Yarrowia lipolytica: one gene and its partners. The protein of the gene in region 1 purifies or fractionates together with the protein of each later gene. This does not show direct contact. Links are inferred from orthologs where the notes say so. Each region holds a gene or a part of one and is shown in the gene's direction. Other genes may lie near its edges.

Evidence for each region.
Region 2: the proteins of YALI1_C05636g (region 1) and YALI1_F26915g purify together in Saccharomyces cerevisiae (affinity purification with mass spectrometry, with the first as the bait; 3 studies listed by BioGRID). This does not show direct contact. The link is inferred for Yarrowia lipolytica from reciprocal best matches to the Saccharomyces cerevisiae genes ENP1 and RRP46.
Region 3: the proteins of YALI1_C05636g (region 1) and YALI1_C18892g purify together in Saccharomyces cerevisiae (affinity purification with mass spectrometry, with the first as the bait; 3 studies listed by BioGRID). This does not show direct contact. The link is inferred for Yarrowia lipolytica from reciprocal best matches to the Saccharomyces cerevisiae genes ENP1 and RRP7.

What each region holds. Positions count from the first base shown.
Region 1 is NC_090772.1:561,711-564,930, reverse strand, and holds YALI1_C05636g (uncharacterized protein), read left to right. Parts: upstream 1-1,326; coding exon 1,327-2,598; downstream 2,599-3,220. UniProt on the Saccharomyces cerevisiae protein: Required for normal export of the pre-40S particles from the nucleus to the cytoplasm.
Region 2 is NC_090775.1:2,690,358-2,692,465, reverse strand, and holds YALI1_F26915g (uncharacterized protein), read left to right. Parts: upstream 1-938; coding exon 939-1,589; downstream 1,590-2,108. Other genes in the region: YALI1_F26924g (uncharacterized protein), read right to left, coding at 1-19; YALI1_F26873g (uncharacterized protein), read right to left, coding at 1,958-2,108. UniProt on the Saccharomyces cerevisiae protein: Non-catalytic component of the RNA exosome complex which has 3'->5' exoribonuclease activity and participates in a multitude of cellular RNA processing and degradation events.
Region 3 is NC_090772.1:1,888,001-1,890,468, reverse strand, and holds YALI1_C18892g (uncharacterized protein), read left to right. Parts: upstream 1-1,177; coding exon 1,178-1,942; downstream 1,943-2,468. Other genes in the region: YALI1_C18901g (uncharacterized protein), read right to left, coding at 1-290; YALI1_C18878g (uncharacterized protein), read left to right, coding at 2,422-2,468. UniProt on the Saccharomyces cerevisiae protein: Plays an important role in the synthesis of 18S rRNA but is not required for the 5.8S and 25S pathway. Is necessary for the cleavage at site A2. Is required for efficient association of RPS27 with the pre-ribosomal particle.

The sequences.
Region 1 (3,220 bases):
TGTCTGTTCTGTATGTGTGTCTGTGAGTCTGTGTGTGTCTGTGGTTGTGTCTCTGTGAACGTGCGTGTGTGTAGAAAGGCGTGTCTGAAGTGACTGACGTAAGAGATACAGTTGCCAATGCTTTCAATCACTGCCTCTCCTTTTAACCAAGCCAAGCCCAGTAGTTGCTGTTGATATAGTGAACTCAAAAGAAAGAGGAGAGCCAAAATTAAAAAGCAATGCATGATGCGATGAGCTCAACAGAAGGGCTTAAAACTGCTCCAGCCGCCCCATGTGATCGTGAAAGTCACGTGATTAGACCTATACTACCACTTAGAAGCTGTCTATCAACTCCATACCCCTGAAAAATAGCTTCCCGGATCCAATACGGCCATCCTCCATGTTGCTGACTCGCAAACTCTATCGAACCGTTGAGAATGTACCGTTAGCCGGCTCGGAAGAGACCCAAAGGTGAGCAGCAATGGGGCTGGTTATTTTAGTCACGTGACCGTTTAAAAGGGATTAGGAAAAGTCAAAGGTGAGCAGCAATGGGGCTGGTTATTTTAGTCACGTGACCGTTTAAAAGGGATTAGGAAAAGTCGAATCTCTTTTCTGTTGACTACCATTTTTCCTTCGCTAAGGTTTCTGAAATTTCACCCGTTTACAAGTATCGTACAAGTAGTACCCCTTATCCCTGTTAAAACTGTGAACCCAGTTCAACTCGTACCCCTTTGACTTGCAGTTGGTTACTCGGAATTCTGGTGAAAATGCATTATATGTACAGTATTCAGTCAATTGCATGAGAAAAAAAGAAGTGAATCTGTTTCCGGCTAGTTGTGGAGGTATGATGACGTCAAGCAACAGGAACATGAACATCGAGTATACACATAGAAGTACATACTGTCCATACTGTAGTAGCCAATGTTCACCATAAACTGTCGAACTGGAATTTCACTCATAAGTAGCTATTCATACTTCTAGCACCATCGCAATCACCATAATGAGAAATCTTGCGCATCTTAATGGCGAACGTGAAATCTATAATCAGTTCCAGGTTGTCGTCGTCTGGCATTATGGACTGATAAATAAGATTATATCCTAACCCTATAGTTACTCTGAATCTCGGAATAGTGGCGAATACATAAAATTCTCATACCATTCGCACCAACGTTCTCTCTGCAAAAATCCGATCAAAACGAATATAATCTCGTTTCACCAAATTTTAGTCCCCTCGATTTGTGTCACGTGACAACCTTATTTTGGAACGTTAAAAAATTGTGCATGCTGCATACGGTTTGGCATATTTTTTAATCCCACCATATCACCAACACCACGCACCGCACAACCATGGGAAAAGCTGATACTAAAGACGCCAAGGTGCGACACAGCCCGCTTCATGTCGACATGAGCCAGGGCAGCGGACTTCTTCGAGAATCCGCCAAGCAGAAGACTTCCCGAAACACCAAGAAGACCGATGCTGCAGAGGAGGATTTTATTGATTCGGCCACTTCGCGACGAATTCTGCAGATGGCACGGGATCAGCAGCGAGAGCTGGATGAGGAGGAGCGAGGCGAGGAGTTTCCCGAGGATGACGATGTGGAATTCGAGGACGAAGACGAGGAGGAGGATGAGGAGGAGTACGAGGAGTACGAGGATGTGCAACAGGAGTTTATGACCCCTGAGGATGCTGCTCTGTACGCGAAGTACTTCAATGAGGACGAGCCTGTTTCTCTGGCCGATAAGATCATGGCCAAGATTCGAGAGAAGGAAGAGGAGGAGCAGTTTGAGCGAACTGGAGAGGCCCCTGGAACCTCCCAGGGTTTGGAGGGAGAGGGAGTCATGCTTCCACCCAAGGTCATTGCAGTCTACGAGAAGGTCGGAGAGCTTCTGAGCCGATACAAGTCTGGAAAGCTGCCCAAGGCATTCAAGATTGTGCCTACGCTGCGAAACTGGCAGGATGTTCTGTACGTGACCGATCCTGCTAGCTGGTCTCCCAACGCAATCTACGAAGGAACAAAGATGTTTGTGTCCAACCAGCAGGCTAAGGAGGCCCAGAAGTTCATCCAGATTGTGCTGCTGGAGCGATTCAAGGAGGAGATTGAAGAGAAGAAGACCCTAAACTACCACGTTTATCGATCCCTGAAGAAGGCTCTGTATAAGCCTTCTGCCTTCTTCAAGGGTTTCCTGTTCCCTTTGGCTGAGCAATGCACACTCAAGGAGGCCATCATTGTCAGCTCCATTCTGTCCAAGGTCTCTATCCCCACTTTGCATTCTGCTGCTGCTCTCATGAGACTGGCTGAGATGCCTTATTCCGGCCCCACTTCTCTGTTCATCAAGGTGCTGCTCGACAAGAAGTACGCTCTGCCCTACCGAGTCGTTGACGCCGTGGTCTTCCATTTCATGCGTTTCGCTCACGTTGAAGAGGCTCTCCCCGTCATCTGGCATCAGTCCCTTCTGGTCTTTGCCCAGCGATACAAGAGTGATATCACGGAGGATCAGCGAGACGCTCTTCTGGATGTCATCAAGGTCAAAAACCATCCCAAGATTACACCTGAAATTCGACGAGAATTGATTTCTGGCGAGTCTCGACCTATTGTGGATGAGCAGATGGAGGTTTAACTAACGGAAAAAGGACTATAATAGATGTATGTAGCATAATTAGAGATGGTTGATTGGTATAGAGCGTTGCTAGCGGTGTTTGCGTGTACACGGTGGGGTTTTAGTTAGTGTAAAGACAGTATGGATGTGAAAATGTACAACAGTACGATACTAGAGGTGCACCATAACGACAAGAGAGGAAAAGACGTATTTTATTGCACAAATATGAGTGCCAGAAAGCGCAAAGGAACCTATTCGCCCTACATCCTCAAACCCTTCGACTTCAACCAAAAAGTAGCTATTCAAACCAACATGGTTCGAAGGGTGTAATCCGATTGAGCCACATGGAGACAAGTTTTCGTTAAATGGACTTCTTACATGGTTTTATTGTGGTTGAAATAATGTAATAATCGACTTCTTTGGTCCTTCTGGGTCGAATCTGAGATCTTTGGATTTTCATGGATTCAGGCTACAAATGAGATTTCATGGATTGAGAATGTATGGGGCCAATCACTTGGCGATATGGGTAATTGATGGATTGGTAAAGAATCTAGACTGTTTTTATTATCAAGTCAGTGGTCTCACTCAAGTAACTGATATTGGTGTGTAGTTATCAACTAACATTACTTAACAGTAGAACTGA
Region 2 (2,108 bases), on another chromosome or scaffold:
TGGAAAGGTGGTTGGACATGGGTGGTGAGCAGTAGGTTGGTGTCTTCCTTCTCTTGTTATTGTTTAAATGATTTCAGTTGGCTCTCGTTTCCAGTCCCGTGCACCAAGCTAAAATTAGAGTTTACGACCGGAAAAATTCCACTCAGAAAGAGTCGGCTATTGAAGATAGGTGTGGACTCTTGTATTGTTGGTTTACGTAGATGAAAAAATAATCTGAAAAGGTGATTTTGGTTACCAAACCAGTCTCTTCACAATTACAAACAATTTTTCTCCTTTATACAAAAGCATATTCAGTTACAAGCACTTTGAGCTAACATCACAACCGCATCCTTGCATCATCCCTCTATTGAAAAATACGAGCCTATTCCAGTTAGAAATCAACCAGCCCTTGCTCCAATCGTGCGGCATCGTTAGTCAGGGTTTGGCGGTGGTTGTATAGTGGGGAGCGTGGGTGGAACATTGCTACAGTGAGAACGATATTGTACAATACAGTAGTTACATAATAACACTATCGAGCCACTTACTCAGGAGCCCTTGTCTTTTGTTTTGGAGTCACTATCATTTAGTGCTATAAAATGGTTAATATTGTAACTATTACTTGGACTACAATTGTAGCTACTAATTGTAGTAGGTTGCTACTACCACGGTTCTTGCAGCTGTAGGTACTGGTTTGTACTTGTCATCGCTACCGTTCTCTCTCAGAGCTATCAGTATACACCTACAGACATAAGGACCGGATTAAAAGATTCCAGGGCCCATAAGAACCCACATGAGACAACAAATAATACAACTCACGTGAATAATAGAGGTTTGCCCCGATTCAATTTTCAGACACCACTTAGTCATCATCACCTCTCTGATAAAGTTCATATGCAAGAAATATTTCGAGGATGCCATATTGCCATTAACCATCACCAGCATACAAAAACACACACAAAATGAACATTTTGAACAATGTGGATGGATCTGCCAAATGGGAGCAAGGAACAAGTGTGATTTGCTCGGTCACGGGTCCCATAGAAACTCGGCGACGGACAGATGAACCTACACTAGCTCAGGTGGAGCTGGTGATTCGTCCTGCTATTGGACAGGCCACAACCCGGGAGACACTGATTAAGGATCGAATCTACAGTGTTTTGGCCGCCACAGTGGTGCGAAACTTGTACCCTCGCATGTTGCTTCAGATTGTGATTCAGATTCTTGAACAGGGTGAAGGAACCGGATACAACGTGCTCAAGCTAGCGGCATGTCTGAACGCCATGTGTCTGGCATTGATTGACAGCAGAACGCCCATGACTGGTCTTTTTACAGCAGTCGCCATTGCCATTGTCGACGATAAGCTCATTTTGCATCCCACTCGAAAACAGGTGTCTCAGTCGACGTCTACACATGCTGTTTCGTATTTCGTGGAGAACAACAAGGCCACGGGTCTGTTGATGTGTGAGAGTGAAGGTGAGTTCACCGAGAACCAACTGTTTGAGGTGCTTGAGCAGGCCGCACGTGCATGTGAAGACGTGGCTCTGGATATGAGAGAGCGGATTGAGAAGGGTGTTAAGGAGGGCCTTCGAATTGATGCTGGGCAGGAGTAATGCATCGGTAATTTATACCTATTAATGGATAGACATGAAAAGACACGTAATAATGGGCGGATGACAGGATGTACTGTAGTTTATGACACACTTGAATGATACATAGTAGGGCAGGAGCCTGTAGGATTTCTATAGAAGGATCGACATGTTGAAGTAGGATCAAAGACACGTATAACGAATCCAACGTACAAGTACAAGTATGGATGTACTGTACTTTTTTGGTATCAATCATACAAATACAACAGCTGTCTCTTAGTTACTTCTACAAGTTCATATTAATGCACACACGTATATTTACTCACACTACCTTTACACTCTCATACAATACAATACACATTATTCATTCAGTAGAGATTTACAAGATCCACCTAAGCAGAAAGCTTCTTGAAGTCCTCAACCATGGAGTTGAGACCCTCGATCTCGGCGGTCAGAGCCTCAAATCGCTTGGTGTTAGACTCCTGGACGTCGGCTCGCACCTTGGTCTCGTAGTCCTTAACGGCCATCTGCTTCTCGAGCGAA
Region 3 (2,468 bases), about 1.3 Mb from region 1:
ACTCTCACATCCTCGCGCTCCCGTCGTTTGAGCTGCGGCTTGGCAGAGGCCGCGTCACGTGATCCCGAGGTGGTTTCCTTGCGGGCGATTTTTGGCAGGTAATTGTATGCTGGTCGTTTTGTTTCCGACGTTTCTTGCTTGGGATCGTTTCCGTCGGATTTGGTGGAGTCGGACTTGGTCTCGGGGGTTGCTGAGTCAGCAAGAAATTCACCGCCTGCGATTTCCGCGGCGTCTCGGGCGTCAGCTGACTCTCCTTCGGCCTGGTAGCAGTCGCGCGCTGGGTCGTACATTGTGTTCGGTGGTGTTTTGGATGTGCAGAAAAAGATGGTGATGGTGTAGTTGGTGGTTTAGAGTTTCCGAAAGTGGTGAGGGCTAAACATGGATAATTCTGGGGATACTGGGGCCAAAATTGATATTTTTAGGATCCTGGCGGTTCGAAAAATACAATGGTAACGAAATAATTGTGTTTTAGTGCCGTTTAAACGATGCATATGGATTAGGTAATGGGAGGTCGGATACGTGAACCTTAAACGAATTAGGGTTTTATTACCCTCGGCATTTTGGTGAAGTTTTGGATATGTAGATTTGGCTGAAAATTTGGATGGGAAGTGCTGGAAGCTGGCGGTGGTGGTGGATGCAATAATCATCAAATTTGGAGCATTATTGGGGGAGTTTTGGGGGTTGGGTTTTGTTAGCAGTTGTGTCTACTTTAAAGTGAATGGTTGGGATTTTTCACTGGACGAAATTTAAATAATAAAATAATAAAATAAAATAAAAAGAAATAAATGAAATGAACTAATAAAATACATAAAATGAAATGAACAGGAAATTAAATAAATGAACAGAAATAAATAAAATAAAATAAACTAAAATAAACTTAAACTAAACTAAACTAAAATAAAATAAAATAAAATAAAATAAAATAAAATAAAATAAAATAAAATAAAATAAAATAAAATTACTCAAGAAATAAAAAAATAAAAATTAAAAAACTAAAAAAATCTACAACTACAGAAACTCCCTCTCCCTCCTACACACCCAACAATCTCCTTCCAAAATTTGACCCTCATCCTTCTCATAACCTCTGCGGTGAATCTTTTTACATGTGTCATGCACGTCTAAAAAAAATCCCGTCCTACATCTACACACATACACGCACAAACATTTTGCGACCAGAATGAGCGGCTACGAGACTCTACCGCTGAAAATGCCCAAGGGCAACACGCACTATCTGTACATGAAGAAGGACGACAATTCTGCTGCGTCGGAGGACTCGACGATCTTTGTGTGCAATCTGCCTGCGGACTCGACTCTTTCTCACATCAAGGCCTTGTGTCAGAGTCTGGGGGGCAGCATTGTGGAGAGTTTTGAATGGGTGAATGTGAGTCGCAATGTGCGGGCCGAGTCGCTGACACATGGTCTTTCTGGCGGCTGCGGTCGTATTCACATGGTGGATGCGGCTTCTTGCAACCGGGTGTTGAGTCAGGCCAAGAAGAATGCTACATGTGGAGTCAAGTGGGACGCCAAGCTGACGATTGGCGGCAAGCAGCGATACCAGTTGCTATGGAAGTACTGTTTCCCTGCGCCCGACGATTTGCAGGCCGAGGTGGACTATTTCATGGAGGAGTTTGCGGCCCGAGAGGAGGAGGAGAAGAAGGTGGAGAAGACGGGCCGAACGGTGGTGGACGCCGACGGATTCACCACGGTGGTCAAGACGCAGAAAAAGAAGTCGTTGGCCATGCAGGAGGCCGCCAAGCAGCAAGCCGAGGAAATGAAGCTCGCTGAGATCAAGCGACGAGAGAAGCGGGAGAAGAAGGATTTCTACCGGTTCCAGATCCGAGAGTACAAGAAGGAGCAGATGACCGACATGCTGACCAAGTTCAAGGAGGATCAGGAGAAGGTCAAGCAGTACAAGGAGAGTGGGCGGTTCAACCCGTATTAGGGCGCAGTAAGAAGCACTTCAGACTGCGTTGAGAACCGCGTTCAGATAGCATTCAGACAGCCTCTGACAGCATTCAGACAGCCTCAGACAGAATTTCATTTTGACAGCCTCAGACAAGTGAGACGTCTAATCTGACGATTTGCTGCTCACTGAGAGCAGTTGATGGCCACTGCTTGCATGGTGTGGGTGGCTCAACCGCGGTACTACGACCACGGTACCACGAGGATACAAAAGACAACAGACAGTTATAGATAATGGATATTGGTTATGAAGCAGTGTAGATACAAGAGGGGAGTTCGAGGATGGAGACTCAGGACGAGGCAATGATGATCCAATGCGTATAGGAATACGCCGACGATGTTTCAGAGCTTGATCTTTGGTGTGACTCGGATCTGTTTCAAAATAGATCTCTCACCCACGGATTTAATCCGGTGTAACAGTGTGTATGAACACTGTTGCTCGTCTCACAGCGAGCGATAATGCTCCGAAAACAGCGGCTCAGGGTTCAACTGGTTTTTAAAAGCGG